4 linked regions of the Arabidopsis thaliana genome follow. The protein of the gene in region 1 interacts with the protein of each later gene in a pairwise test. Each region holds a gene or a part of one and is shown in the gene's direction. Other genes may lie near its edges. The genes, in order: UBC29, ATGP4, MUB4 and MUB6.

What was found.
Region 2: the proteins of UBC29 (region 1) and ATGP4 interact in a two-hybrid assay, tested with the Arabidopsis thaliana proteins (one study listed by BioGRID).
Region 3: the proteins of UBC29 (region 1) and MUB4 interact in a two-hybrid assay, tested with the Arabidopsis thaliana proteins (one study listed by BioGRID).
Region 4: the proteins of UBC29 (region 1) and MUB6 interact in a two-hybrid assay, tested with the Arabidopsis thaliana proteins (one study listed by BioGRID).

The regions. Positions count from the first base shown.
Region 1 is NC_003071.7:7,263,873-7,271,228, forward strand, and holds UBC29 (ubiquitin-conjugating enzyme 29), read left to right. Parts: upstream 1-3,849; 5' UTR 3,850-4,007; coding exon 4,008-4,077; intron 4,078-4,178; coding exon 4,179-4,306; intron 4,307-4,491; coding exon 4,492-4,596; intron 4,597-4,721; coding exon 4,722-4,865; 3' UTR 4,866-5,183; downstream 5,184-7,356. Other genes in the region: AT2G16730 (glycosyl hydrolase family 35 protein), read right to left, coding at 1-165, 270-388, 492-576, 658-763, 841-935, 1,018-1,161, 1,269-1,361, 1,460-1,526 and 3 more. UniProt on the Arabidopsis thaliana protein: Accepts the ubiquitin from the E1 complex and catalyzes its covalent attachment to other proteins.
Region 2 is NC_003075.7:12,846,668-12,854,998, reverse strand, and holds ATGP4 (Ubiquitin family protein), read left to right. Parts: upstream 1-3,188; 5' UTR 3,189-3,553; exon of another isoform or gene 3,554-3,649; 5' UTR 3,650-3,749; coding exon 3,750-3,879; intron 3,880-4,131; coding exon 4,132-4,302; intron 4,303-4,970; coding exon 4,971-5,026; 3' UTR 5,027-5,348; downstream 5,349-8,331. Other genes in the region: SWEET14 (Nodulin MtN3 family protein), read left to right, coding at 103-369; AMY1 (alpha-amylase-like protein), read left to right, coding at 1,174-1,263, 1,342-1,474, 1,546-1,976, 2,201-2,566, 2,639-2,890; UMAMIT16-psi (nodulin MtN21 /EamA-like transporter family protein), read left to right, coding at 6,623-6,738, 6,960-7,076, 7,187-7,418, 7,601-7,647, 7,733-7,870, 7,950-8,064, 8,155-8,202. UniProt on the Arabidopsis thaliana protein: May serve as docking site to facilitate the association of other proteins to the plasma membrane.
Region 3 is NC_003074.8:9,943,112-9,951,648, reverse strand, and holds MUB4 (membrane-anchored ubiquitin-fold protein 4 precursor), read left to right. Parts: upstream 1-3,564; 5' UTR 3,565-3,855; intron 3,856-4,130; 5' UTR 4,131-4,204; coding exon 4,205-4,334; intron 4,335-4,866; coding exon 4,867-5,037; intron 5,038-5,120; coding exon 5,121-5,182; 3' UTR 5,183-5,893; downstream 5,894-8,537. Other genes in the region: AT3G26990 (ENTH/VHS family protein), read left to right, coding at 92-167, 551-798, 947-1,066, 1,195-1,363, 1,957-2,096, 2,182-2,217, 2,471-3,223; AT3G26960 (Pollen Ole e 1 allergen and extensin family protein), read left to right, coding at 6,190-6,373, 6,450-6,790; AT3G26950 (uncharacterized protein), read left to right, coding at 8,238-8,537. UniProt on the Arabidopsis thaliana protein: May serve as docking site to facilitate the association of other proteins to the plasma membrane.
Region 4 is NC_003070.9:7,767,187-7,775,001, forward strand, and holds MUB6 (membrane-anchored ubiquitin-fold protein 6 precursor), read left to right. Parts: upstream 1-4,472; 5' UTR 4,473-4,710; coding exon 4,711-4,843; intron 4,844-4,946; exon of another isoform or gene 4,947-5,298; coding exon 5,299-5,469; intron 5,470-5,601; coding exon 5,602-5,657; 3' UTR 5,658-5,968; downstream 5,969-7,815. Other genes in the region: AT1G22040 (Galactose oxidase/kelch repeat superfamily protein), read left to right, coding at 1,184-2,611; AT1G22060 (sporulation-specific protein), read right to left, coding at 6,187-6,463, 6,557-6,699, 6,781-6,882, 7,055-7,210, 7,518-7,815. UniProt on the Arabidopsis thaliana protein: May serve as docking site to facilitate the association of other proteins to the plasma membrane.

The DNA.
Region 1 (7,356 bases):
CCCGGTGTTATAAACAACGGTTTTGCAGTCAGGGAGAATACTGATGGAGCGGTGCGGGATAAGATATTCCTTGCCTCTGAATTTGATTTTTTCTGCAGCTTCTGTGTTATTGTTAGCCAAAAATGCTGCACAAACTTTAGTTCCAGGCTGCTCGTAGTATCGAATCTGCGATAACAAAAATACATAAAAATCAAGAAACTGATTCTTTCTATGTACATTTTCTAAAGTTTAAACTTTTTGAACATTAATGATGCTATAGATGAAATTACCTCTGTTTCATTGCTAGGCTTCTCGACTCGAGGCTGGCCCCAGAGAAGTGCCTTCTTGCACAAGTTAAGGGCGTTGTGAAGATGCTTTAGATGACCGTACTTAGGCTCCCTTTCCAGTCCTTTGTATTAAAAAAAGGGCAAATGAGAACATACATATTAATCTGTAACTCGATTTTATTCATTCACAACGATCATATGCTATATGTTTTGTTTTAGTTTTACCGAATTCATCAAGAGGTGCATCGTCGTAGTAACGAGTTGTCACATAATGTGCAGAGGTTCTTCCAAAGTTAGTACCTCCGTGATACTATAAGAAAAACAAATATTTAACAACATTCTTGAAACGTTACATATAAATCTCTTTTTTATTCGGTATTCGATCACTTACCATATAGTAGTTAACATGGGTTCCATTCTTGGAGAAAAACCGGGCAACAGAATATGCTATATCTTCTACAGATCTTTGTGCTGGGGGATCGCCAAAAACGCGGAACCTAGAATCAAATTATAAGTCATTGTCGTTTGTTTCATCAAGAACATACTAATTAAGGTGTTCAAGTGAAAAGCTCACTGAGTAGTCCAGTTCTCTGTCCATAAAGATGGCTTGTTGTCTTTGTTTGGACCAGGGAATGTATCACCGCAATGTCTTCCGTTACAAGCGTTGATCTGTATCAAAACAAATTAAGTTCTTGATTTAACCTTTTATGATTATGTTTTTATAGTGAACGTGTTATAAAATATGACTTACCATAGGATCAGGAGCATCATTTTGCTTACACATAACCCATGGGATCCCCAAATCCATCGAGTGTACCAGTTTAGATGCCCACTTAATGTAGTTTAATCCATCTTCTTTATATGCTCGTTGAACCGCACTATACTCATTCTCAATCTGAATCCAAACGCCAATTTTAAAAAAATCTTTCAAAACTTTTATGATTCATATCTTAAAAATGTGTTTGTTGTTTTTATTAATCTTTATCTTTTTGTCAATGTTACCTGTCCTAATATAATGGGGCCTCCTTGTGAAGCAAAAAGCTTCTCCTCCTTCATCATGTCAAGTACCACCTTAACATATCTCTCTGTATGTTCCTACAATCAATAGTTTTCTCCAAATTATTTAATTGTTCCAACATATCACACACATATCTTACATATGCATAGCCATATGTGAAAACTAATAATCATACCTTGAAAGGTTCATTATCGGTACGGAAGAAGATCCCGGGAACTTCCCTCAGCCAGTAAGGAAGTCCTCTGATGTTTCATTATAACCATAAGCATTAAACATGTCACATATGTAAAAGAATTTTATCTCAATTTGGAGGAATCAGACAATGTAACAAATAAACATACCCATGAGTCCATTCAGCTTGAATAAAAGGTCCAAGCCTCAAGGTTACATACAAACCATTCTTCTCAATTAATTTTATGAACTTCACCAAGTCGGCTCTACCCGAAAAATTGAACTGTCCCAACAACAAAATAAAAAACTCTTCAAAACAGTGATTTAATCTTTTCTAAAGGTTTTTGTTTGTTAATATTTCAAATTACCTTTCCCTGCTCAGGCTCATGAACGTTCCAAAAAACGTATGTCTGAATCGTGTTCAAACCGCCTTGTTTCGCTCTCTTGATGATGTTTGGCCACATCTGAGCAAAACCCACATCACATATTCTCAAAAATGTAAGTAAAACAAAATTTAAAGATAAAACAACTTTAACTAACGAGTGTATGAATCATTTACTTCAGGAGTGCTACGAGGGTAATGTATGGAGCCAGAGTAAAGGAGTTCTCTATTTCCATTGATGATCAAAGACGTTCCATCATAAGTTACTTCTTTCTTTTTATCGACCGATTTCGTCTTCTTCTCTTTGTCATCGCTTGAGAGAGCTCCAGAGAAGGAGAGGAGAATCACGAGAACGGCTAGTAAAAGCCATGAATGATCAGAAGAATGTATTTTCATTTGACTATCTTCTTCTTCTTCTTCTTCTTCTTGAGGATTTTTAAATTTAAACAAGAATCCACCTAAAGGGATATCTTCCTTGTCAGAGAAATAAAAACTTTAGAGAAAGAAAATGAAATAAGAGAATGTTTCGCAGAGAACATAAGGTTTCAGAGAAATTCACGTATTCTCAATTTGAGATTCCACATTTTGTTTGTAAATAAAACTTCCAATAACTCTCCCTTTTATTTCCTTATTTCCTCCTTTCATTTTGTTTTCGTTGAATTTTCTAATTTTAAGGTTTTTGGTTGAAGAGCCTAATTTGGCGGGTATACACACAATGACTTCTCTCAATCACCACCAAAAAGAAATGTGAGCCAATGCTTATGTTGAGAAGGTGCGTATTACACCAAAAAAAAATGGTTCATACGAAACCAATGATTTTATTTTATTTTATTATGTTCATTATAAACACCACTTTTGGTTCTTCTTTAATTGTGGAAATGTGGATTAAATCCATGAGAGATCTAACAAAAATTTGTGTAACCTGTTATCTAGTTATTATTCTTTGTCTACAAGTTGAGTAAATTTTTTTGCTGTAATTTGGATTATCATCGTTTAAACCTTTAGCTTATTTCTAACTTTAAATATCATAACGGCAAAAATTGTAAAAGCTTTGGTATGCTTCTTTTACGTAAAATACATAAATGTGTTGACCGTGTGGTTGAAGATTGAAAGCAAAGCAAACAACATTTGTTACAAAAAAAATGGCTATTTTTTTAAGTAATCAATTAATCGTCTTTTAAAAAATCGAGACCAACTATTGTTGAGAATTATTTTCCTCCCGTAATCACCATCATAAAATATCGGTTGGGCAAATCACGTAGCATGCATGTACATTAACTTTGGACTAACAGCTGTGGAGTTTCTTCTTATAGCAATATTCAAAAGACCTAATAAGTCTGAAATAAACAGAGGCTTGAAGGTTATACTTAGATTGAAAGGCAATGATTTACATTTACATATATAGGTTGATCAATGACGATCTCTACGATATGTTGTGATATAAATCTTTAAAATAAGGAAATAATATATGCATCACTGATTTGTGGAGTGTTCCTCACTCGACGCCACTCTGATTTGTAAATTTTTTATTGTAAAATTTTAAAGTATGTAAATAGGGCCTATAATTTTTTTTCCTAATGATACATGGGCCTATAATCTTAAGAAACTTTTGAAATGGGTCCTATAAGTTTTCAATAACTATTTTACCTCATCAAATGTATGTTATGATTTATGATTATATTTGTTGAACATGATGCTCATCACCCATCACTTTGCTGGTCCAGTGAACGTGGACAATAAGATTAAGAACAAAGGATATTGTAATAACCATTCTTTATGTTAAGTTATTCTGATTCTCAGACTTTATCAAATCCCATTATAGACCGTTCAATAGATATGGTATATTACAGTAAGCATGTACGTAAGACCATCCACTTCAAGGCACGTCTCTCTTTCAGAATCAGAACAAAAGAATGGATCTTTCTCCATTACCTTTATGGGCAAAGCGGGCGGCTAAAAAGAGACTTTACAATGGTAAATCTTTACTTAAACAATGATAAATGCAATAGTGCAAGCATTCCTGTTTGCAAGAGAATCACAAATCTTTGCTTACGGTTCACGCTTTAAAAACACAACTCTCATTCTCCTTCTCTTCACAAACCACTCATATTTTTTTTCACATACTTCTTTGTAGTGCTACTTTCCATTATATCAAACACTCAGCAACCTGATGGCAACGAGACGGATATTGAAAGAATTGAAGGAGTTGCAAAGAGACCCTCCTGTATCATGCAGTGCAGGTAAAGGATCACAATTTGTTCTTAATACAATATAAGCCATGTATCAGAAATTTTTTCTAAAGATTTTGATATTTCCTTTCTCCTTGGTTTGGGATTTTTAGGTCCAACAGGAGAAGATATGTTCCACTGGCAAGCTACTATAATGGGTCCGAATGAAAGTCCTTACTCCGGAGGTGTTTTCCTTGTCAATATTCATTTCCCTCCTGATTATCCTTTTAAACCTCCCAAGGTAACAACTTTCTCAACAATTTTTTTGTTTTTTAATCTACTTCTTAAATCCAATAACCAAAAGGCACAAAACCAACATTAAATATTGGATCGTTTATGATCTTTTGGAACCTTAAGTTTTGATCTTTATTTTCAATCTTTTTCTTCTTCTTTACTCTTGTTGTTATGTTTGTTTGATAAAATCAGGTTGTATTCAGAACCAAAGTGTTTCACCCAAACATCAACAGTAATGGAAACATATGTTTGGACATTCTCAAAGACCAATGGAGCCCTGCCCTTACCATTTCTAAGGTTTGAAATTCTATATATGTATTTAGTTATTTGTCAATATTTTCTATAATTCCATATATCAGATTTGGTATATAACCAAGAAGCTCCAATAGGTAACACAAATTACTAACATTTTGGTATTATAGGTGCTTCTCTCTATATGCTCTCTTCTAACAGATCCAAACCCTGACGACCCTCTGGTGCCAGAGATAGCTCACATATACAAAACTGACAAGACCAAATATGAAGCCATGGCTCGAAGCTGGACCCAGAAGTATGCCTTGTTTTAAAGCTCACAATTCCTCTTTTTTTCCTTTTTATTTTGGTTTGGTCTTATTTGTAATAAAAAAAGAAGAAGAAGAAATTGTTATAATTTTAATACAAACATATATAATATATAAAGTAGAGTTTTCAAAGTTGTTAACTCATATGATTGATGAGATATCGACATGTATTAAATCTAATTTTGTTAATATATAAAAAATCTTCTAACCCTATCGGGAAAATAAAATATATACATAAATCACAAAAATTATTTATATAATCAAAAAATTTAATTATATTTTATATAATAAAATAATTCATATTATTAGCGAATTTGTTTTTTTTAAAGGACCGTTCAAATATGTTTTTTTGTGTATTTTGTCGAAATTTTTGTTATTTTTCTTTTTATTTTGTTAAAATAACTCTAAAATATAGATTTCAAACAACACATAAAATAGTGAGATGCATAGATAAAGGTTATAATGGGAAAACTCAATAGTATCAAAGATAAATGAGAATTAATTATAGTCATGTTTGTGTAAAAAATTTAGGACAAGTTACTAATATTTAAAGTTTAAGCCTAGTTATTTAGTAAACAACAAAAATAACTTACGTTATCTAACGATATTTTTGGAGAATAGATAGATTGAAATAAGAGTTAGAACACTAAATATTGAAAACGTGTGTGGGTTACTATTTAAAATTTAAATATCATAAAGAATTAAAACACGAAGATGAAATATGTAGAAATATTTTTTCAGCTCTTATCCATTAAAATGAAATATATAGAATTAAAATTCAGTATATTTTCATGAAATATATAGTTAAATTATTGCAAAATAGAATGGATAAAATTAAATTTTGGTTTTAAAATATTTAGATAAAATGAAAAAGTGTACATTGCTATTAGAATTCAATTATTATTTGAAAAATTATATATGTTTTTTATATTCGCCTATTTAAACGGGGTTTATCTAATATATATATATATATATATATATATATATATATATATATATATATATATGATCTTATAAAGAAATAATTAAAAGATAGAGAGGAATGGACGAGAAAGCAACATGACAGTTCTCTCTTATTAACTTTCACTCCTCTTCTTCTTATTAATACTGAGATCCACCAGAAAAGGGTTATTGCTATTGATTGATGAAGATGATCCATTGCTTTACGAGTACGATTATAACTTCTAAGCTTTTTTATATGGTTTCCCATAGATATTCTTAGCTTTAACTGACCAAGGTAGTTATATGTTGTAGTCGGAATAGCCATTAATATCTCAGGTGCATCGCAGCACTGTAAACGCCTTGCAAGCCTGGACAGGTGGACAGTCATGGTCTAGAAGAAGATCATGTTCATAGCTTTTTTGGAGACTTTGGCTTTTATAGAAATCAAGGAATAAGAAAGTATTTTAAAGTATAGAGGCTTTAGGTATTTTAAGTCATGCTAGAAGTGAACAATTGGCATGGGAGGCTGCTCAATTGAATCTTGTAGGAGAGATAAAGGAAAGAGAAGTACTTCCAATGTTTTCTCCAATAATTTTGTGCCAGACGAGTTGTTTTTAGGAAGATGCAAAAGTAGTACTTTTAAGGCAAAATGTCACAGGAGGAGGAGTCTCTCACCGATTCACTTGGAAATGGAAGCCTTATTATATGAGCCATGAATAATAATATCCTATCAAGACGGATAAATTATCAGCTTTTTGAAATACATTGTGTAGAACTTGTCTTAATAGTGGAATTCCTTGAGAATTAAACCATTTTCTCTAATCTTTTCGATGAATTTGCTTCGAGTTAAGTTTTTTATTTATTTTCAAAGCTAATTATTTCTCGTTCTTGTAACTTCAAGTTGATTGTTTAGCCAAGACCTCATAAACCTTTACTTTCAGAAGTTTCTTATGTACACACTCTTTCTCCTAATTGGATTACCAATCAAAAAGTGAATTTTTAACTAGTACAAGATTGAAAAAAGAAACATTTATATAATATCCGTTTAGATTGAAAGAATTTTTCTTTTGTTAATCTTTATCTCTTTTTTATATTTCGATATAAGCCGTTTCTCGGAAAATTAAAAATTCTAAGCCGTTTATATGGCCATAAGTAATGAGGCAGCTCTAAGCCCGAAATAGCCGGTGGCCACACATATTCACTTGGGACTTGGCCCTTTTAAAACACCTAATTTCATGCCTTTTCCCGCTAAACTTGCCACTTTCTCCTAACCAACTCATTTCTTCATATAAAACCAACAACATCACACAAAAAGAGCCCTCATTTATTCACCTTTCTTTTCCCTTAAATATAATCTTTATAAAAAAAATTAAAAATTAAAAAAAGGAAGTAAATTGAAAAAACAAAATTGGTCCCCTGTCTTCTTTTGTTCACTGGACCCTTTTCTTGGCTTCGCTAAATCATACTATCTCTATCTTCTCACCGACACTTTCTTCTTCTTTGATCATATCATATTTATCTTCACTACAAAAAAAACAAGTAAAATAAAGCCAAT
Region 2 (8,331 bases), on another chromosome or scaffold:
AGTTTTTTAGGTTGTCGGCGATTAATAGGATTACTGTTCCCTATCAAAAAATGATTAGTGGGATTGTTACTGATGATGTGATTACTTTTTTATGATTTGAAGCTTCCAAATATATTGGGTGCGTTTCTCGGAGCAGTCCAAATGATTCTATACGTCATATTCAAGTACTACAAAACTCCACTAGTGGTTGATGAGACAGAGAAGCCCAAAACGGTGTCGGATCATTCCATCAACATGGTCAAGCTTTCATCTACTCCGGCTTCTGGTGATCTTACGGTTCAGCCGCAGACTAATCCTGACGTGAGTCATCCTATTAAAACTCATGGTGGTGACTTAGAGGACCAGATGGACAAGAAAATGCCAAACTAAGTCAAGATTTAGTTTTCAATTATGAATTAGTGATTGACTTTAATGTTGAACTGTTGAGTCTGGTTTCCTAATTTGTCTTTTATTTTCTCATCATCTTCTTTCGAAATATCTCGAAATTGTACTATCCTTCAAAAATTTATGTGCGTCGTTTAGAATTTTGTAAAATAGTTTTTGATGCCTCTGTTCTCAGTAATACTTAAAAGTTTATTAGTCCGGCTAATTAAAAAGGAAATGAAAATTCAAAGTAAGTTAGATAAACATGATCATTCACAGGTCAGATGTTTTAAAAAAAAATCATTATGGTGTACATCACATGTAGACAATACTTCAGAATTCATCTGGACTACCAGAATTGAGTTACCTAGTACTTCTCAATTCTATTTTACCCTAACGTCTAATAAATAACAAGTACTCTAGCCTCTTCGTTTTATGATTCCTCTAGGAAAAGTTAATGTTACGGCCCAATCACTTTTTTTAACAGCCCAAACAACATATATTAGCTCCAAATATCATTTTTTCCCCTAGAATATTCTCAACCTATTGTCCACTCAAAACGTGACAAATGGAGGTCTAAAGGGAGACCATACTTGACTCATTTTAGAGCTAGGATCAGACAGAGTAGATTTTTTGCCATAACTCCTTGTAAATGTATTCACATTTCATTCCCAAGAAAAATAGACTGATGAAGAAATATATCAGATATGACAAGGCCGTGTCGTTTAGGTTACGTAACTCTACAAGGTTTAGGGTCTCAATATAAACACACAAAGCAGATAGAAGAAGCAAACCATTCACAATCAGACAATGACATCTCTCCATACGTTACTCTTCTCTTCTCTTCTTTTCTTCATCGTCTTTCCAACCTTCACGTTTTCCTCCACCTTATTGTTTCAGGTTCGTCTTTAGTTTTGCTTCTTTACATACACAGACTCTACACACTCACTTATTGGGTTTCTTTCAATTGTGAAACAGAGTTTCAATTGGGAGTCATGGAAGAAAGAAGGAGGATTCTACAATTCTCTCCACAACTCCATTGACGACATAGCCAACGCTGGAATCACTCATCTTTGGCTTCCTCCTCCTTCTCAATCCGTTGCTCCTGAAGGTTCCATTTCTGCTTTACTCTTTACACATTCACATACCAATCTTGTTACTCACGCAATCTTCATTCCTCAGGTTACTTACCGGGAAAGCTATACGATCTAAACAGCTCCAAATACGGTTCAGAGGCGGAACTGAAATCGTTAATCAAAGCGTTGAATCAAAAAGGAATAAAAGCTTTGGCTGATATAGTGATTAACCACAGAACAGCTGAGAGGAAAGACGATAAATGTGGATACTGTTATTTCGAAGGTGGGACTTCCGATGATCGTCTTGATTGGGATCCTTCCTTTGTCTGCCGCAATGACCCTAAATTTCCCGGTACCGGAAACCTCGACACCGGAGGAGATTTTGATGGAGCGCCCGACATCGACCACCTTAACCCTAGAGTTCAGAAAGAGTTGTCCGAATGGATGAATTGGCTTAAAACTGAAATCGGATTCCATGGTTGGAGATTTGATTATGTTCGAGGTTATGCATCTTCCATCACCAAATTATACGTTCAGGTAAATCACATATGAATTCTCAAATATCAGACAACAGTATTAGTATATAAGAAACATAGGTTGAGATAATTATTTACTATTAGTATATATAAGTATCATAGGTTGATAGGGTTATTTACTACTATTTAGTATATAAGAAACATAAGTCAATGCAATCAATAAGAAATATATAAGAAAGTTCACTACTGATTATGTGATAAATTCCTCTGTTTTTGGATACACAGAATACATCACCGGATTTTGCGGTGGGTGAGAAATGGGACGATATGAAGTACGGAGGAGACGGGAAACTAGACTATGATCAGAACGAGCATCGGTCGGGTCTCAAACAGTGGATCGAGGAAGCGGGTGGTGGTGTGTTGACAGCTTTTGATTTCACCACCAAAGGGATCTTACAGTCTGCTGTCAAAGGTGAGCTTTGGAGACTAAAGGACTCGCAGGGAAAACCGCCTGGTATGATAGGAATCATGCCCGGAAACGCTGTCACATTCATAGATAACCATGATACATTCAGAACGTGGGTTTTCCCTTCTGATAAAGTCTTGCTTGGATACGTTTATATACTTACTCATCCAGGAACTCCTTGCATTGTAAGTATCATTTTAGTATGTAGCTATACTATTTACAACTACAATCTTGTTGATATGTTATTTTTGTTGCAGTTTTATAATCATTACATAGAATGGGGACTAAAAGAGAGCATCTCAAAGCTGGTGGCTATCAGGAACAAAAATGGGATTGGTAGCACAAGCTCTGTAACGATAAAAGCGGCAGAGGCGGATCTCTACTTGGCTATGATTGATGATAAAGTTATCATGAAGATTGGACCAAAGCAAGATGTGGGAACACTTGTTCCTTCTAATTTTGCTTTAGCTTATTCAGGCCTTGACTTTGCTGTCTGGGAGAAGAAGTAACGCATAACTCGAATCATAAGAAAAGTAATCGAATGTATCTTCTTCCTTTTTAATAAAACATTTTGGCAGTATCTAAAGATATGTATAATGAAATATAAAATGATAAAGAATACCTAAATAAAAAGAGCACTAGTGGTGTTAAAGGATACAACTCCAGTGAAAGAAAAGAGTTCAAGTGAAGAAGTGTCAACTTGTAGAAATAAGTATTGGAAAGTTTCCATCGTTTTGTTTTGTTGCATACAACTAATATATTATATATTGGCCGACTCGTATAAGATTTGGAGCCCTACTAAAATCAGAATTATGATGTCTTAACCACACAATACTGCCAAAATCAGAACGAATTATATTATTGTAGAAGAAGAAAAAAAAAGTATGGTGGGAAGTGGGAACAGTTAGACAGGTAAATTCGAATAAAACGACAGCGTTTTTGGCTAGGACAATAAAAGTTGAAGACGTCGGCTTGAGAAGAAGTAGAAGTGACGACGAAAAGAAAGGGGAAAAAAAAAAGGAAGGAAAAAAGTGAAAACCGTCGGCTTGAGAAGGAACTTTGATATTTGGTGACTCTTGAAAAAAGCAAGCTCTTTCTTCTTCCTTCTTTCGCTTTTTTCACACCTCAAAATCAAAGATCCGAAACACGATTTCGGAGGAAGCTTCGATTCTGTGTGTTTGATTCTTCCTCTTTTTTGTTTTTTGTTTTTTTGTTCTATCCCGTTTCGAAGCGAGCTCTGATTCTCGTTCCTGTCTACTTTTTTTCAGACCTATTTTCAGATCTGAAATAGTTGTGTTTGAGAAGCGGGATTGGTGATCGGAGCTGGAATTTGGTTGGTAATCGGAGGTCAGAGAGAAGTCAACGGATATGCCGGAGGAAGAATCGATAGATATCAAATTCAGGTTGTACGATGGCTCCGATATCGGGCCTTTTCGGTATTCTGCGGCTTCTACTGTTGACTTTTTGAAGCAGAGGGTCGTCTCTGATTGGCCCAAAGGTTAGTTTTAAGGTTTTTTGAATCGGTGCCCCTTTTTCCCCAATCTGATCCTGGTTTTATTCATGATCTTCCCACGAATTTCGTGTTGATTGTCACTGAATCCTGCAATTGTCGGTAGAAATTCGAAATTTAGAGCTGTAGATGAATTATTATTAGCTCATTTGAGATGTTATAAGCTTGATGTATGAGAAAAGCCAAGTCTCTGTGATTTGAGGTTGATCCAAGCATCAATTTTTTTGTGGTTTTGGTTAGGCAAAACAGTTGTTCCAAAGGGGATAAACGAAGTGAAGCTGATAAGCTCGGGTAAGATCTTGGAGAACAACAAGACTGTTGGGCAGTGTAAGACACCATTTGGAGATATTGCTGGTGGAGTCATTGTGATGCATGTTGTTGTACAGCCTTCTCTAGCTAAATCCAAAACAGGTAGTTGTTTGTCTATGTGTAATGTTCTTCATGTCTTTTATATCAGAGAATTCCCGTTTCATGGAGATATATGTGTCCTTAGAGGTTCCTCAATCTTTCATTAGTCTTGTGGTATTTATCTTGTCAACTGTATGGATTATGGTATTCATTTATCTGGCTCAACTTTACGTCTTATAATATCTAGCTCTAGTCATACTTATATTAATTGAGGCTGGTAAGATTTCGTAAGAGTGTTCATGCACATCAGAAAGTTAGTCGGTGACTAAGATCAGTACATTCTTTTTCTTTCTAACAGCCTATGGTACTGACTCAATCAACCTATCAGGTGATTAGTGGTTTTGTCTAAATTTGGTTTGTTTGTCTTGAGAGAGAGTAAAGGATACCCTAGAATTCATTCCTAGGTTTCTGGTGTGTTCTTTGTGTGAAATAAAGCAAAAATCAGCTCTAAGCTTAGCAAAGCATGCCATGAGGAAAGGAATACCTGAATTCATTATTGGTCGTCATCTCCTTGTAAACCCCACTGAAAACTTTTGCCAGTCTTTGAGATTTGTCTGCATAATTTGTTTTTTCACAAACTTGAGAAAGTCGTGGAAAGTGAGTTTGTGATTACTAAGACGTTTGTTGATGAAAGCTAACTAACAGTTGAATACTGGTTTTTGATTAAACAGAGAAGAAGGTTGATAAAGCACCAAAGGCAGTAATCTGCACATGCACCATTTTGTGAAGGGAGGAAGACCAATGTATCTATCATACACATCGTTTCAATTCTTCCGGTACAGAAGAAAACAAAATCAAAAAAAGAAAGCTAAAAGTAAAGTAAAGCTTCCCTTTAAGCTGTGGAGTTATTTATCATCTTTGAATGTGTAGAAAATGAACTATAAATTCTTTTCAAGTAACTCTTTGTCCCTTATTTGTTTTTTCTTCTTACTTTCCCAATGTATGGAAGCTGTATAGGTTACTAGGTCCATTACGTTACGTGTGATGAAGATAATTATATATCTATCTATTTTTAAAAAAGATTGTGCCTTTGTATTTTTCGTTCTTCCTTTCACACCGTTTTAGTATAGGTGAATTTGCGAAATGGCCAAATTCTGGCTGGCCCGTAAATGTAATTAATGAATTCATGAACTCTGAACATCACTTCGAACAGAAAATTCATCTCTTTTTGTTTTAGGTTGGGAAAAGGTAAGAGGATGGAGTTGCGGTTCCGATCAGACAGACAGGAAGAGTAGTGATGGATGAAGGCGACGTAGTCTCGAACAGAGGCATGATGTAATAACACATGATATATGACACAAGTCATAACCTAGCTACTTATAAATACCAACATAAACTAAAAAAAGTCATAACAATGGTATGTACTTATCTACATTAAAAAAAAAAAGAATTGCAGAAAGATGGCAATATGAAACTAAATTGAATCAAACACATGTACTACAAACAATAGTTAAAAATATCAAAACACAAGTAAAACAACCTAGTTTTAACATTTAAAACGAGGAGAAAAAAAACCAAAAAAGGGAGCCAAGCTTTATGCGTGGCGCTAAAAAGATTGGGCTGTTGATGGATAAATTATGATAGGGCCCAATGGAAAAAGAGAGCTGTCGGTAAACCCTAGACACGAAAGCCGGTGACGAATCGTCCGGTCAATCTGAGTAGTATAAGCGTATACGACATGTATAAGTAGCTAACTACGGTATTTATACTGTATGAGTTGGTAGTTAAAGAGTCATAATGACGTTAATGTCATATTACCAAAACAAGGAGCTTGGAGATAAACAAGCGTAAAAACCACACACTATAATAGCATTAAAGTAAAAACGAGCTGGAAGCATTTTCTTTAGAATATTTTCTTCCTGCACCTCCTCCTCCATTGACGAACACCACTGAGACCACACTTTTAAATTTTATTTTATTTTTAAAGAAGAAGAAGAAAAAGACGAAGAAGAAGTGCAACCAGGAATTGCAACCAACCTCATCCGATGGATAGATAAATATATTCGTAATCAGATCTGGACAATTCAATCAACCGAGGACAGACGCTACGACAGTCGACAAAGGCTGGTTTGCTTCACGAGACTAAGCTGCTTTCAGTACTCAGTTCCTCAGGTAAAAGCTTTGTGTTCTATTTTTATTTTCCTAGGCAATGGTTTTTAAGTAATTTCTACTAAAAACTTAAGAAAAACGGATCTAAAACGTTTTTTTTTTTTTTTTTGAATATAATTTAACCAAAAAAAAAAGACGTAGAAGAAGAAGAAGCCATGATCATAACATCCTACCAGTAGTTGCGGCTGTTTCAATTCAGATTGGTTTATCCATAATGTCGGTCATTGCAAAGTATGCTCTAGATTACGGGCTTTCTCCGAGAATCTTTGTTGCTGCGCGTCTGGTTATTGCATTTTCAATTCTATCACCCCTTGCTTTAGTATTTGAGAGGTACCAACCATAACTTATTGTATGTTTTCTCTGTTTTTTTTGTTGTTTTGTTTTGTTTCTGGTGCTAATAATAATCTCAAATCTATAGGAATACAAGACCTGACTAAAAGAATCTTTGCTCAGATAGTTATCATGAGCATTTTCGAGTAAGTTACTTATAGTTTGTATGAATCATCACATTCATCAATATATTAGAGGTTTAATCAAATGTTTTCTTACAGGCCACTATTGGAGCAAAACTTGTACTATACAGGCATGCAGCTCACAACGCCCACTTTCACTTCCGGAATGTTCAACCTACTCCCGGCCATTACATTTGTGATGGCCTGTATATTCAGGTAGCCTTCTATTTTCTTTCAAACATTTAGTTCTGTATGAGTAATAATCAAATCAGTATGTGTGTTTTGACTTTAGTTCCAACATGTAATGTCTCGTACCCTTTTGCAAGGTTGGAGAAAGTGGCTATTCACAGTCATCGAGGAAAAGCAAAAGTTCTTGGAACGTGTGTGGCGGTTGCTGGAGCAATGCTGATGACATTTTGGAGAGGCCAGGTGATTCCATTGCCATGGAACAGCTTGCTGCACGCAAAGAAGATCCACAGACATGATGAGGACATCCTAAGAGGAGGGCTTATGCTAGTGTGCAGCTGCTTGAGTTGGAGCTTCTATGTTATTCTTCAGGTAAAAAGCCCAAAGGTCACAATGTTTCTTTACAGAAATTTACTAAGTTGGCTGGCCTTTTAATCTATATGATGTTTCTTGCAGGCCAAGGTAGTAGTGTCGTACCCGGCAAAACTGTCCCTGACGGCTCTCATCTGCATCATCGGGGCGTTGGATCAACGGTCACCGCACTAATATGGGAGAGAAATAAACTTAAAGCCTTGAAACTTCATCCAAATGTGACAGTGTTAGCGTCTCTGGGGTAAGTTGAATTGAATCAAGAAGTCATTTGGTTGTCATACAATTTGTATTGAAACTCATTCTCCACTGTACAGGGATGTTTCTCAGCAACAACGGTTTACGTTGTTGGGTGGATGGCACAGAAGAAGGGTGAGTATCTTCAATCCAATCAATCTGATTGCCACGGCGGTCATTAGCTCGGTTGTACTCTCTGAGCAGATGTTTGTCGGGAGGTGAGCATTGGTGCTTTCCTAACATCCTTGGTATCTCTTAGTAGTCCTCTTCTCAACTCATCTTTCTTTGCTGAATCAGGATAATTGGAGCTTTCGTGATTATCATTGGCATCTCTTTTGTTCTTTGGGGAAAAATGGGAGAACAAACCACGCCGCCGCCGCCACCTCCACCTCCAGAGCCTGAGGCAACTGAGGTATGATATAGGAAAAGAGTGACTTGGAAGTTTGTGAGACTATGATTGGTAGAGGTGTGAATTGTGAGTTGGCAATTAGTGATTGGCTAGAAAGAGATGAAGATTGTTAGAGATGGAAGACCATTTGTAGAGGAATAACCAGAAAAGTATCCAAGTTTGTATCTTCTTCTTCAATTCTCTCTGTGTGTTGATAGAGCTGTTTCTACTTCTAAGCTCTACCACATGAGATTTAGATTCTCGTTTTATGAATGACAATTCAATTTGGTG
Region 3 (8,537 bases), on another chromosome or scaffold:
TTGATGACTCTTAGGGTTTTTGACTTGTATCTTCTTTGTTTCTCTATAGATTTTGTGAAGGCACACTGGTTTTTGAGCTGGTGTTGAAGCAATGGGTAGTTCATTTAACGCTCAGATATTAGTTGAGAAGCTTGCCAAGCTCAACAATTCTCAAGCAAGCATAGAGAGTATCCTCTTCTGTATATCATAATTTGGTTGTAGTAAAGCTCTGTAATTTCATTGTTTAAGTACTTAAATAGGTGCTTGGAAAAGACTATACAGAATTGGTATCTAAGTTAATGAGTAACAATGGTATAAGATGAAAGTATTGGTATCTCTTCTCAAGCAGAATATATCTAAATTCCTCAGGATTTTCTTTTACTTGAGCTGTAGTTTATACCAATTTTGAGTTTCAGTGATATTGGTGTCTGATATACACGGATAATTTTCTCAACTCTCCCAACTTGCTTTTATTGTAAATTAGTTTCCCTTTGATTAGTCTCATGTGATGTGTTGTTTTTCTCTCGCCTTGTATACTATTATGGTGTATGTTTTCCTTGACGTTATACAGCTTTATCACATTGGTGTATCTTTCACATGAACAAAGCAAAACATGTTGTAGAAACATGGGGTAGGCAGTTTCACTGTGCCCCACGTGAGCAACGTTTGGCATACTTGTACCTCGCGAATGATATCTTGCAGAATAGCAGGCGAAAGGGTTCGGAGTTTGTAGGTGAGTTCTGGAAAGTACTCCCTGATGCTCTTCGTGATATGATTGAAAATGGTGATGACTTTGGAAGAAAATCCGCACGCCGATTGGTACGTGAAGTTAACTTTTTATCTACCACTCTCTCTGAATTTCTCTTTGTTTGAGATTTTAGAGAACATAGAAATGCCACTTATTGATGTGATTTAAAGAATTTGACAAGAAAACTGCATTGCTAATTATCGTAATTATTTCTTCAAGGTTAATATATGGGAAGAAAGGAAAGTTTTTGGATCCCGTGGACAAATTCTCAAAGAAGAACTTCTGGGAAGACAGCCTGAAAATGGAACCAGAAACGGAAATCTCGTGCCACTTAAGCTTGTAAGTCAGAGTTTGTTGTACAAGCAATTTCGTACCAGTATGTCTCAGTACGGTCCACTGTTATGTGATAATTTCTACTTTCGAGTTCTTCCATGCTAACCACATAATCAACTCTGTCATTTCTGCAGTCTGTTCCTCAGAGACAGGTAAATGGATCCACACTGGAGAAAGTAGTGTCTGCTGTTGAAGTTCTTCACGGCGTTCAGATTGATGAGGATGCTCTTGTTGGAAAATCTACTAATGCTGCTGGTTACCTTGAGAAAGCAACACAAGAGGTTGAAAGAGATCTTAGTTCAGGTATCACCGTCCATTGGCTGCTACATTACTGCAAATGTATTGATATGCTTTTTTCTTATCAAGTGACAAGCGACATAGCTTCAGTTTTCTACATTCGTTTGTTTTAAGAACTCAGCTGTTTGGTCTATCTTTAACCACACACCCTTTGTATCTGAACCGAAATCTTAAAATTTGCGTAACAATCTCGTATCTGGTCTATGTGTGATCTTAAACCACTACCACGCTTCCAATTCTTACTTCCATGATGCTCCTCTCTCATTTTTCCAAATAGTTTTTGCCAAAATCATCTTTTAAACATGGTGGCTCTTACCATTTGATAGGAATATTCAGCATATCTTTGTGTCAAATCATTTAATGATAAGAGCACTTACCCCCAATCCGCAACGAGAATAACCAGTGCTACACATTTTGGTTAATTTTGGATCCCTAATTTTTGTCACTACATTTCTGATTACTGGGACTGGTCTTTATATTAACTGCTTGTAGATATATTACACTTCTTTACTTGTAGGATAGAGAAGATCCAATTCTTGTTCAAGCATCCATTTGAAGTTGTTTTCACTATCTTACTTCTTGAGCATTGCTTTAAATAGGACACGCCCCTGGGCCAGCGGTGGTGAAGGAGTTGCAGGGACAACATGTCATATTGAGAGACTGCATCGAACAGCTAGGGGCAATGGAGACATCCAGAACAAGTCTTATCTCACATTTGAGAGAAGCTTTACAAGAACAGGTTTACATTTATACATTTTCTTTCAAAACAACATCTTTCATTGCACCGGCCAGAAACCTCACCTTGTTTTTGTTTTTGTGTCCAGGAACTCAAGCTGGAGCAAGTCCGTAACCACCTTCAGGTTTGAATACTTACCAACAAATGTGATATTTGTTCCTCAGACATTTTATACATTTCAATTTACACAATACATCATAACGTTCTCAATAGTACTTTCCGAGACATGCTGGTCTAGCTTCAAGCTTGTTTAGTGAATTTGTTCAAGGAAGATAGACCCAAATCTAATTAGGGTTCTTGGTTGCCTTTCCAAACAGAATGTTGCCTTGTCTTTATGCTATTTAGTTGAATTGATTTCATTTGTGCTACGATTTCAGATTGCTCGGTTTCAATCAGACCGAACTGGTGATCTCTGCAGACAGCTTCTAGACCATGGTGGTAGTTCACAGCCTCCTGCTACAGAAGAAGAAGAGTCAAAAGAAGTTATCAAAGTTTCATCCACTGCAGCAGCACCACAAAGCTTCACACACAGCGATGTGGAACAATCTGCACCAGTTATGTTTGCCTCAAACCCAACTCAATCGCTGGAAGACCCAAGAAAAACTGCTGCTGCTGCAGTGGTAGCTAAGCTAACTGCTTCAACTTCCTCAGCCGAGATGCTCTCCTATGTTCTCTCCTCCTTAGCCTCCGAAGGCATCATCGGAAACAACAACCCACCTGCTGTAACAGAAACTCTATCATCCGTCGATTTCCCACCAGAGAAAAGACCTAAGCTTCAAAATCATGACCAGTCGTATCTCTCACCGCACCATCAGAACACTGCAACAACATCATCCTCCACACCCCCACAACCGCTTCCACCACCACCACCATTCCAGCTTCAACCTCAGTTTTTGCAGCCGTTACAGCCTCCCGGGCCAGTAAACCACACACCATTCAACTACACCATAGCAACCTCTACTGCAACCACTCAGCAACAACAACAAGAACAAGGTCCTTGGGTACCTGGGCTCACTCAACTTTCAACAACCTCTGCTCCATCGGAGAATTCATACCAGAAGTTTCAGGGACAAGATGGTTTCTATGGCATTAACTCATCTGTGCCTATTACACCTGTCACTCGCCAGTAGTGTAAATCTGTTCGTAGGGGTTCATATAGCAAAAAGTTCACTTTTTTTTTTGGTTTTTTTTTGTTAAATATAGTTTCAATGGGCTTTTGATAATTAGGATTTTATGTTCTTAAAATGTGCTTTGTATGCTTTCTAATTGTGCGTCTAATCCAAGGTTTCAACTCTGTAAACATATCATAAAAATCCTTTGTTTTGCTCTGAGATTTTACTATTGTTGGAAGATTCTATAGATTTTCAAATTTTCTTGTTCCTCTCTTTGAAATTTACATGGAAGTCAGATTTGGACCAAAGTGATTTGTTGCTCGTCTTTTAAAGTCTTCTGGTCAAAACGCCGACAAGGCTTTGCTTTTGACTAATAAAGAAACATACTTTTCCACAATTTTCTTGTCTTTTTATCTTATTTCCTTACTCGTCAGGGATTCCCTGTAACGCGGCAATCCTGACGAAAGACATATCAGAAACTTTGATAGAATCACATAGCAGCAATCTCTTAGCTGGATTTTACCAGCTTCACTTTGAGATTAGGTCATTTACCCTTTTAAGGGTTTCTCTCCTACTTTCTTGATTCTCTTCATTCCCAAGACTCAAAACCTAGCAAACTTGGACATTTGGATTGAGTGTCTCTAGTCCGGGTAAGATTTGTGTGTTGTGGTAACTTTATCTGACGGTTTAGGAGCTTAGGTTGCTTAGATGAGTTCCAAGTTTTTATTTTTCTTTTGCTTATTGTTCTTCTTGTTCCTTTGGTCCAAGTTCTTGATTTGGACAGTAACTGAAAATTTCCTAATTGATTCCTTTAAGTTTGACTGTGCTCTTATTACTAGTCTTCTCTAAATATTTTTGTTCTTTGCTTCGACAATTTCATTGATGCTTTGAATTTGAGAATCTCTCTGTCCTCTTATTATTATAGGTCTCATTTGGGTGGATTCTTTCTGGTGAAATCTTTCTTGTGAGAGTTTTGTATTGGGAGAAAGAGATAATCAAATGCCGGAGGAAGATTTGGTAGAACTGAAATTCCGGTTATATGACGGTTCAGATGTTGGCCCGTTTCAGTACTCTCCAACCGCCACAGTGTCAATGCTTAAGGAGAGAATTGTCTCTGAATGGCCTAAAGGTTAGCACCGAGCACAATCTTTTGGTTTGTTTTTCGGCTAATCCGTGAAAAAGAAGTAAAAATGCGATAGAAGTGCTCTTTAATGCTTTAGATTTGGCTTTAGAACGTTTGCTTCAGCCATTTTTTTTTTTCTTCAGTTTCTTCACTTGTGGCTTGATAGACAAAGTTCAGACATAAGTCATAGGATCTGATTGACTTACTAATCATTTGTCTTAAAGTAGGAACAGAAGAAGGAAGTTAAACTATTGATCTTTTAAAAGGTTACTCGATCTTGTGATCTATGTTTTAACAGTTTCTCCACTTGTGGTATAGGCTTTTGAATTGGTCTGATTGTATTACTAATCACTTGTCTTATACTACAAATCATGTCTTTAGAGACTATAGGGACGAATACTGTTCTGGTTCTTTTTAGTAGAATTTCTTGATCTTACTCTTCAGTCTTGTGCATTCAACAAAAAATTGAATTTGTCTCATTTTGTTTCCTATTGTATCTTATTGACTAATCGAATTTGGGGGTTTTGAATGTGTGTAGACAAGAAGATTGTTCCAAAATCAGCTAGTGACATCAAGTTGATAAATGCTGGTAAGATTTTGGAGAATGGTAAAACTGTTGCACAGTGTAAAGCTCCATTTGATGATCTCCCTAAATCCGTCATTACAATGCATGTTGTCGTGCAACTGTCTCCAACAAAAGCAAGACCAGGTCTTGTTCTTTCTTATCTCCGTAAATCTTGTTTGTGGAATGAATTCTTTAGCCTAATATCTTGTTTTTTCTTTCTCTTACAGAGAAAAAAATCGAAAAGGAAGAAGCCCCACAGAGAAGCTTTTGCTCATGTACCATAATGTGAGAACAACAACAAGTCCCAAGTCAAAAAATCTGAAAGAGTTAAGTTTTGATTCTCTGTGGTATTTGCTAAAAGACCATATAAACATAAACTACCGCTTCATATTCGACATTTTCTTCACAAGTTCAAAGAAACCTTCATCTATGGCGTTATAAAGCTAGTCTATTAGAGTTGTTTCTCTTGAGCTGTGATGGAAAAACTCTTGTTTGGAGCATCCTTTATAAAGATAAGAGTTTTGTTACCGCGAACTAATTCAAGTATCTCTGTAACATATCTTGTATGGTTTTGTCAATCTTTAGTACATTTTAGACCTGGTTTTTTTCTCTATCAGGATCCGCCCAAAACTGTATCCAAACATCTTTATCCAGTCCATTACCTACAGTGAAAACGAGTACTAAACGTTTGCAGTTTGGTTCTTGAGTGGCAAACACTTTGATATGTTACTATATGGTCCATACCTTTCTCATCATTTTCCACTTCCACAAAGCCAATGTTTTGGGGATGTAGGTAGATACAAACCTCCAAAAGAAACAGAGAGCATGAGATCTCAATAAATGTCCTTTCACCTAACTTATCACTGTCTCCCACTTAATTCTCTCATTTATAACCTTCACTTTCACTTAGTGTCTCTCCACTATCTTGTCTTGTTTCGCCTTTAATTCTATTCCTCTCCTCTGGCTCTCATTTATAATCTTCACTCCAAATGCACCTTTCTTTGTACTCCCATCACTTTCTCTTCGATATGGTATTTACTTTAATCCGATTCGAATATTGTAACTATGAAAAACAAAATGAATAGTAAAAATATCCGTTTCGTATCCAAGCCTATTTTTAAAAGACACGTTTGTATAACTCTCTCTATATATAGAAAGGAACCACGAAGCTCTTTCAAGAGAGTTCTATTCTTGTCTGAAAACTAGTTCCCTATATTTCTTCTTTCTTCACACACATATTCTCCAATTCTTACATAAATATCAAATAAACCAAACTTGAAACTTGTTGTGCTTAAGATGACGAAGAAATCACTGACAATGTTTCTTTTTATACTTCTGCAATTTCTGCTCGTAAACTCTCTATCTTCAAAGCATTCATCACCCAAACCAAAACCAGATGCAGAAATCACTATAATGGGTTTTGTTTACTGCGATGTTTGCTCCAAAAACAGTTTCTCTAAACACAGTTACTTCATGTCCGGTAGTAACTCAGAACAAAAAGATCTCTTTAATTAATTCCCTGCAAAAACTCTGTTTCTTAACGTTTCTTTACACAGGTGTGGAAGTGAGGATAGTCTGCCGATTCAAAGCAGCTTCGTCAACAACGACAGAGACTATAACATTCTCTGCAAACAGAACCACCAACGAGTTTGGACTGTACAAGGTAGCCATATCTTCTCTAGATTGTGCTGATGTGGACAGTCTCGCGAGTTCTTGTCAAGCGAGTTTGATTGGAAGAAAAAACTTCTCCGATTCTTCTTGCAACATTCCTGGTTATAGAACCACTACGGATCAGGTCTTGTTTAAGTCTCAACAGTCTAATTCCTGTGTTTATGGATTCAATGCTTTGAATTTCAGACCGTTCAAGAGGGATCTTGCCTTGTGTGGCAAGAAATAAGGTTTTTAGAACTACAAATTATCATTCACTATTATTGAAACTCTCTGTTTGCTTTCTACTCAAATATATATATATGTCTTTCGTCTTGTTCTCGACCATTGGCTTTGGTTAAAAACAAAATTTGAATTTTTATTTCGTATGCTGTAAACTATTAGTATGAAAAATAAGGAAAATGAATCACTTTTTATTTCACAACGTAATGAACAGAGGAAAATTTTGGCGAATGCTAGAAAACACACCAAAATTTTACGAACAAATTTACACAATTTCTCCTAAAACGTCCGGAAAAATTGCACGACTGTTACTAGTTTTAAAGCACGAGTTACCAGGTCACCTGTTTTCGTTAGACTGATAATTCATATTTCTACAGCAAATTTAGTATATCAATCTGTGTAAATATTTTATTGATTTATAATATATAAATAAAGTTGCATCTAGTTATGTCGTCATAAGTTTACGCATACGTATATTTGGAGAAAATGTCAAAAAAATCTTTAATTGTAAAAAATAGCATAAAAAGTTTTAACTTTATCTCGAGTAAAATAATGCGCTAATTTTCATTAACTTTTTATTTTAATCATATTTTTAATTGACTTCGCATTTTTAATCGCTCATTTTGTTGACTTTACCCAATATGTCACGTAGTTAAGTTGACTAACAAAACAAATTTTTAGAGTTAAATTTTCGTTGAGATGTTATGTTAAACTACACAAAAAAACATTGTTTAACTAACAAATAAAACTTAAAATGAAATTCAATCTTCTTACTACTTAGATAAACTCATGGATACGTCAATGGTGACATACAAAAAGTGTATATTAGAGAGTAACTCAATTATATTATAGTGATTTAGCCCTAAGTTTTTAATTCTAGAAAATTTAAAAATTTTAATGATTAAAACAACTATAAGTTTTTAATATATTGGATGTATATTATTACAAACAATAATATATAAGATAACTTGTACATGATTCACCAAAATAGTCTAGTTGAAACAACTATAATTTGAAGTTAAATAGGCTAAGTTGAAACAACTATAATTTTGAGATTCAACTATTCTTGGGTTACGGATTTTTACATTCTTATTAAAATATTGTGTTATTGGTTTGGGGGGTTTTAAATTTCCTCAAATGAATATCTTCTTATACGAAAAGATTAGTTTTCTTTGTAATTTTATTAAAATGATGATTATATTTAGATGTGGTCATGTGGATGAACCACCACCAGTGCACCAAAAACAGAAAACGACGCCTACCAACTTGATGGGCTTTTAATAGATATAGTTAGTTAGGCCCAGTTTAGTGTTAATACGATACCGTTTGACGTAGTTTAACGGCCACCGACACGAACGAATCCAAAACGGCACCGTGTCAATCGCATCCAAAGCTCTGATGTAAGAAACTCTACACTTGTTCGAGTTTCGGAGAAAAGAAACGATGAGGAAGAGATGAAACGCGGTGGAACAAGACGGAAGCGGTTGTTCGGGAAGACGATTCTCTTATCATCTGTGGTTTTCTTCATCGGTTTTGGTTTGTTGTTGCTCACGCTCCGTTCCGTAGATCCTAATTCGTCTTTCATCGACGACGACGATGACGAGTCCGAATCCGAGGAGGCTTCGAGATGGAGCAACTCTTCTTCGATTGGAGAGGCTATGGTCGATGGAGCTAAACTCTGCGCGACGGTAGAAGAAATGGGAAGCGAATTCGATGGTGGTTTCGTAGATCAAAGTCTCAGAGTTCGAGATGTT
Region 4 (7,815 bases), on another chromosome or scaffold:
CACCTATTTTCTTAGTGTCGCGAAAGAAGTAATCGTATGTTAATTTCTAAGGAAATTATTTGCATGTGTGTTTGTTATATGAATATTTCATGTGTGAACCAAATACCGAATTTCTGGATTGATGTTTTGAAGCACTTATAGAGGAGAACCACATATATCTACAACACAAACACAGAGAAAAAAAGAAAGCTAACTAATTGATATACAACAAAAGAGAAAAGAGTTAAGAGTATACGAAGAAGAATGAAAATAACAAAAGGAGCTTTTGAAGTTTTACAAGTCTCATAATTCATGGGTAACAAAGAACAACTAAAAAAATCTTGAAGAAACTCAGCAAACTACACAATCAATTCTAATCGAAAGCAGACCACCACGAAAACATTCACTTAAACTGAGAGATTAAGGTCCAACGACGGATTGCGCGGGAAGCAGACGTCTGAGACTAAGAGCTAACCAAAGACCAACCGGTTAATAATTATTGGTTAAAAGTTAAACCAGATGTTAAAATTTGACAAATATCATAAGCAAAATAAAATGAAGAATTATTCAAGAGAAATTTTTGGTCAACAGCTTGTGATTTCATTAAACGAACATTAATTACTTATTTTTTAGTTGACTTGGAAGATGATTACTGATTAGACCCGGTTTACCTAAAATCCTATACATTTCACATCAATCCAACGGTCACGATTAAATACTCCAAAATAAAAAAAAGCAAATCATAATTTTTTTTCCTCATTGAACCAATCGTGATTCAACTACAAAATTCCTCTTTGAACCAAAAAGACAAATCCGAAACATGCGTGTGGATACGAAAGATCTCTAGATTCCTCCACTCCTCAATTTCTCATCTTTTGCTTCGTCGGTGAGATTTTCATGTCCCGATTTCTCTCTGTTACTCTTCACTCTCTGAACTAATTTCGAAAACCTCATTTTTTTAAAGTTTTATACTTTAGGTTTTATCGATTCTGGAATTGGACTTAGCTCTTGAGGTTTATGTTTTGATCTATGTCGGATTCATAGAAAAATAAAATTAGGGTTTACTTGTATCGGATTAGTGTTGCAAGCCCATTTATTGATCATGTGTGTTTTTATTGCAAAGTTTGGTTTTTTATTCCTAATTACGCCTAATTGTTGGGAAATTTATGATTTGTTGCAGTGACTCTTCTTGATTTCATCAATAATGGGTTCTGTTATGAGTTTGAGCTGTTCCAAGAGGAAAGCAACGAGTCAGGACGTTGAGTGTTCAAGCGAATCTCGTAAAAGACGAAAGATATCTTCAGAGAACGATGAAGAAGAGTGTTGTAGATTGATTCCAAGTCTTCCTGATGAGTTATCTATACAGATTCTTGCTAGGCTTCCTAGAATTTGTTACTCGAGTGTTCGGTTGGTTTCTCGGAGGTGGAGATCGGCTGTTTCGACTTCTGAGGTGTATAGTTTGAGGAAAGAACTTGGGAGGACTGAGGAGTGGCTCTATGTGTTGACTAAAGGTCATGAGGATAAGCTTTTGTGGTATGCTTTAGATCCTGTGTCTACTAAATGGCAGAGATTGCCTCCAATGCCGGTTGTTGTTTATGAAGAAGAGTCTAGAAAGAGTTTATCTGGTTTGTGGAATATGATTACACCGAGCTTTAATGTTGGTGCGATTGTGAGGAGCTTTCTAGGTAGGAGGGACTCCTCTGAGCAAATGCCGTTTTGTGGGTGCGCTATTGGTGCTGTTGATGGGGGTCTTTATGTTATTGGTGGACTTTCTAGGTCTAAAACAGTGAGCTGTGTTTGGCGGTTTGATCCGATTTTGAACTCTTGGAGTGAAGTTAGTTCTATGTTGGCGAGTCGGGCTTATTCCAAAACAGGTGTATTGAATAAGAAACTATATGTTGTTGGAGGGGTTGATCGGGGACGGGGAGGTTTATCTCCTCTTCAGTCAGCTGAGGTTTATGATCCAAGCACGGATGCTTGGTCAGAGGTTCCGAGCATGCCTTTCTCAAAGGCGCAAGTGTTGCCAAATGCGTTTTTGGCTGACTTACTAAAGCCTATTGCCACAGGAATGACTTGCTACAACGGTAGGTTATGTGTTCCTCAGAGTTTATACTCTTGGCCTTTCTTTGTTGATGTTGGAGGAGAGGTTTATGATCCCGAGACAAATCTCTGGGTTGAAATGCCGTCTGGTATGGGTGAAGGTTGGCCTGCGAGGCAAGCAGGTACAAAACTGAGTGTTGTGGTGGATGGTGAGTTATACGCTTTTGATCCTTCTTCTTCGATGGAGAACGGAAAGATTAAAGTGTATGATCAAAAGGAAGATACTTGGAAGGTTGTTATTGGGGAAGTCCCTGTGTATGACTTAACAGATTCAGAATCTCCTTATTTGCTTGCTGGGTTTCATGGCAAGCTTCATTTCATTACTAGAGACCCTAATCATAACGTTACAGTCTTACGAGCTGATGTCCCCAACATCCCAGTCTCCTCATCATCATCTAGCTCCAGTTCTGTTTCAATCCCACACTTAAAGACCAATGCACCTAACAAGTCAGACACTGTTACATGGAAACTCATTGCAACCAAGGACTTTGGTGCTGCTGAACTTGTTAGCTGCCAAGTTATAGATATATAAAGTCATCAGAAGCTTTGCCCATTTCTCGTGGGCCATTAAGAATCTCTGTGTACAGCCAGAAGCAAAAACATGAAGCTTATGAGATGTTCTCCCAAAGATTTTATCGTCTAATTCTTCGATGATATATTCTTCTGGCATTTGGCTGCCAAAGTAAGCTTGAGTAATAAAATGTTGTGTGACAAATATATAATAATGCGACTGTTGTATCGAAATTTTTGACATGCGCAAATATACTATAGCAGTACATTACCTAGCAGTACAATTGCAGAAGTTCTGAATATGTAACATCAGTATGCTTCTGCATACATATTTCTGTAGTTGGTAATAGAGAAACTTGTAAAAGAAATAAAGTTTCAGGTAAAATTTGCAACTTATGGTGTGTATGTGATTCAGGCAATTAAAACAGTCTAACACAAAAAGGTATTGAAACTTCCTCCTTTTTTGGTTAATCCATCTCAACCAGGGATCACATTTCTTGAATTGAATCTAAACCGGAAATATTCGGTTCGGTTTAGAATCTCTCTTCCTTGCACTGAATTATGTAGCTCTCTTGATTAGTTTCTTGCTTCGACTACAATGGTGGACCTAAAGAAAGTAAGAAGACAAGAATGATATGTATAATTGATGCCTTAAGAATTTAGAACGAATCATATGCTCATAAAGCAAACCGTTTCTAGATTCTCATTTCACACTTCACCTCTTTTCTTTTTATCTTCTTTGATTTTTATATGAAAGTTGTTGCTTTTGATTTATTTCAACGAATCTATTCTATGATTAATTTTTGACATTTGTTTTAGTACTTTAATCTGATGTGAAGGAAATAGTCTTCTTTTCATGAATATCAAAGTATCACTAGCCTGTTAATTATTCCATCCAAAGGGTGTATCGGTTCTTTTTGTGGCATGCACGAACGAATTTTTCTTCATAATAATATTTGGTTGGTGTTTAGGAGGAAATTTTTTATGGTTGAACTTGAACATTTGAATTTCAACCATTTGGAACCAAACTAATTCTCATTTTAAATGATTTCCACTTGAACAAAAACCGATTATATCTATTTTTTTTTCTTCGAATGTTTTACTTGTAAGTTGGTGTATACAATTAGATTCATTACTTGAAAGTGAAGGAATTTTAGTTATACCTCGGTAACATTTTTTCTTTCGAACCAAATCGAATCCAAATGTTAAAGCATTAATTAGACCAAAATTTCAATTATTTCATTTAATTACCAATCAAGATTACTCACTAGATTGTTCCTCATGTCTTAAAACCCCACGGAAAATAATCGATTTGTGTAATTAAACACAATCTTTAATTAGTTAAAGTAGTTAGGCTTATATAGTTGGTGGCTGCCATTTTCTAACACATTCGAAATTACAATATGTTTCTTTGTGTGTTTATGCTAATCCTAAATTCCAGAAATGCCCCTCTTACCATATAATTTTGGCATATATGCCAACATATTAAAACAAGAATCCTATAAAATAATAGAGGAATCCAAAACACAAGAAATAAATTTCTTTAATTAAAAGAAATTAATGGTTGTTAAAGAGTTCAATATCAAAAGGGAAAGTATCAATACCCACTTAATAGGAATCAAAATTATTGAAATCCACTTGTTCAATATTGATATTGTACAACATGGCCAGAGTTTTTGACTAATACAATATCACTATCGAACAATCTAAAGTTAATTCACAAGTCTATATTTTTGATTAGTAAGTCACTAAATAATCAAAAGTCAGCTTTATTGATGATATTGTGTAGGGGTAAAAACGTCAAATTGAGGATTCAGGTAGGATTACGAAAATAAAAAAGAATCTGAAAGTTTCCCAATTTGTGTTATGTCTGCTCAAAGACAGCCTTTGTAACCAAAACCAAAGTGTCTCTCTTTTCTTCTTCCTAAATTTCTTTCCACGAGAATTGATTTGGGTTTGTGTTGTTTTTTTCTTTCTTTTTTGGGTTTTTGTAATTGGGTTGGTGAATAATCCTGCAAAAGTGTTCGATGATTTTCTCCAGAGAAGAATTTTGAAGTTTCTCTTTTTAGAGATTTTTTTTGTTGTTGGGGTTTTTTGTTTTCTGGGGGAAATTGAAAAGAGATGGCAGGTGAAGAAGATTGGATAGAACTAAAGTTTAGACTAGCAGATGGTACAGACATAGGTCCAAGCAAGTATAATCAATCTATGACTGTTTCTTCTCTTAAAGAGAAACTCATTTCTCAATGGCCTAAAGGTATTTTATACTTATAGTTATGCTTTTGCTTCTTTCTACAGCTTTTCACGGTTTTGATGGTTGAGTCTCATTTGATTCATTGCTTCATGTATTTCTTTTTACTCTCCATTGGGTTTGATTGTATTAAATTTGTCTTCTTTCTGCAATGATTTGAATGTATGATGAACTTTTTTGGGCTAGTCTAGGTGTTGAACTTTGTAAAGTATGAGGCTTTAATAGATAATTATAGTTTTATAGTGTGAAAGGTTTAGTTGTTGTTGTGTTAAGATCACTCTAGTTACTGATTTTGGCTAAAACTAGTATAAGATTGATGTCTCAAATTGTATTGTTTTTGCCTGGATTTTTTTGGTTTAGGTGTTTGGTGTTTCTTGGCCTTATTGAATCTTATGTTGCATTTACTTTCTCTACTTAAGGTTGTTTTATAATTGCATTTTCAATGTTTCTCTGTTTCACAGATAAAGAAAATACTCCAAAAACTGTAAATGATATGAAGCTCATCAATGCCGGGAAAATACTGGAGAACAATAGGACACTTGCTGAATCCAGGCTTCCTGTTTGTGAACTTCCTGGAATGATCATTACTATGCATATTGTTCTTCGCCTTCCTACGTTAGACAAAAAGAGCGGTAATTTTCTCTACCTTGTTATACTGTTTATCGCAGTGTAACAACATGTTCCCTTGAATTCTGTACTCGTTAACTATGGCTTTGAGATCATGTTCATATCATCTCATTATATGAAAATTTTCTGTTCCACAGAAAAACTGCAGAATGATCCACCGATGAAGAATCGCTGCGTGTGCACCATTTTGTAGCTGCAAGTAAATTGGATCATAGAGATTTATATCCGTCATGATCATGGCACTAGATGATGCTCCACGGAACAACTTCCATGGCATCAAACAAGCTTTGAGAAGTTCCTTCAGTACAGAATGATTGGCATAGGCATGAAAACAAAAGATCTTCATTACAGAATTTGGTTCCATGTGTGTGGTTTTTAATTATTATTTTTTAAAAATCAAAATGGCTTGAGAAAATGTACTATGATTCTTGAAGGTTGGTTCTTTTATAAATATATACAATATGTTCAATACAACAGTAAATAACAAGAATGGTATTGTCCTTATGTATGTTCTTATTCTCAACTAAACTTCTCATTTTTTGAATTAAAGAATATGGGGTTTCTATACAACACAGAGAACACATCACTTTAAAAACCCCATATCTTGAGACTCGAATAAACAACAATTATATTAAGCTATCTATAACTCGAGACCACTCTTGGAACTTGGACTTCTTCAACATTCTTGGAACTTTATATACATGGTAAGTAACATCTGTGCATTAATGTTCACCAAGAGTTGCTGATGATGAACGGTTCAAGAGCATAGCCTTCTTTGATGCCCTAACGTTCTTCAGAGTCATCATCAGCTTTTGTCTCTCTCCTTCAACCTCTGCAAACTTGAGGCTTAGCTGAGAATAACGGTCATGCATTTCCCTAAGCTCTGTCTCCATAGACGAATACCGGCCTTTGGTATCCAACATTTCTTCAATTAGATTGTTTATGTCTCTGAAACTCTGGAAGATTGCTTCGTCATCGGTGTGTTGCTTCAAGAAAGAGCTGCAATTTCAGGCAAAAAGGAATAATAAGTTCAACGTGGTCTAGTATAGTTACAAAGGCGAAAATTAATAGCAGAATTTTTGAATCGTGTACCTCTGGAAATGGGTGGTTGATTTTTTCTTTCCACGCAATGCTTCAGCGAGTTCTATTTCCAGTGCAAGAACCCTTTCCAATGCGTTTCCGCAACTGAAATTCTCTTGAGATAGAGGGAAGATACTCTGAAGTTCTTCCTTTGCCTGTCGAAAACAAGATCATAAGACTTCTACAGACACTTATGCTTCAATTCATTACAATCTCTAAAAGGTAAACATCAGCACCTGACGCAACTGCATCAGCTCCTGTTCCAAACCCGGAAATCTGGTGTCTGAATCATTATCATCTTGAGGTTCAAGTAGATTCTCATTCTTCATCCGTTCTAGCTGTAAAGAAGACAGAAAAAAGACCCAATGACGCTAGGCAAAATCTTTCTGTAGATAATTACCATCATGTAGATATTGTAATTCAGAATTGCCATCCAATCCAAACTAAGTCACTGATATTAACATTTCCAATTAATTTAACTAGTAATTTTAACCCTTAATCCAGTATTACCTCATCGTTTAGGTGATCCATGCTAGACCTTAAAGTCTCTGCCCTGAATTTATCATTGATCAAAGCTAGGCTTTCTTCACGTTTGTCCAGCGCCATTGCTTCTCCGGAAGGTAATTGGTCTCTGTTTCCATTTACACTGCTCGATTGAATAGTACCCTGATGAACATACATTAAAATAAGAAATTCCTTATAGCACCTTTTTTTACCCGTCGAGCACAGGAAATAACATCCTTAATATCTAACTAGAGAACTATTTACAGAAAACATCGACATACGTAGTAGCCTAGTCATTACCAGCTTGATTAAATCACGTAAACTAGTTTTGCATAACATTTCATAAAGAAGATGCAGCAGAAGTTTAGGGTTGGAACAGAACTCGTTTTAACTTCTATGATACCATGAACTTGAATATTCTTAACTTCCAAATAAATGCTAATGCAAACGCAATCTAACTGAGGGTTACCTGAATTATCGACCTGGGACTGATGATCCGCACTGTAGGATCAATACAAGCAACTTCCCTTTGCCCGTTGTTCACCGAGTCGCCTGAAGAGACTGCAATTGTATTTTTGTCAGCCAACTCTGACACCTCACTATTTAATCTATCATTTTCTTCCATCTCAATATTTTTCTGAGAGCTGCAACGTTGTACTAATCCTCTCCTTGATTCTAGCTCTTTGGACATTTTCAAACTCTGCTCTTTGCATTGTTGCAGAATAGCTTCAAGCTTCTGTTTTTCTTCTTTGCAGCACTCAAGGCTT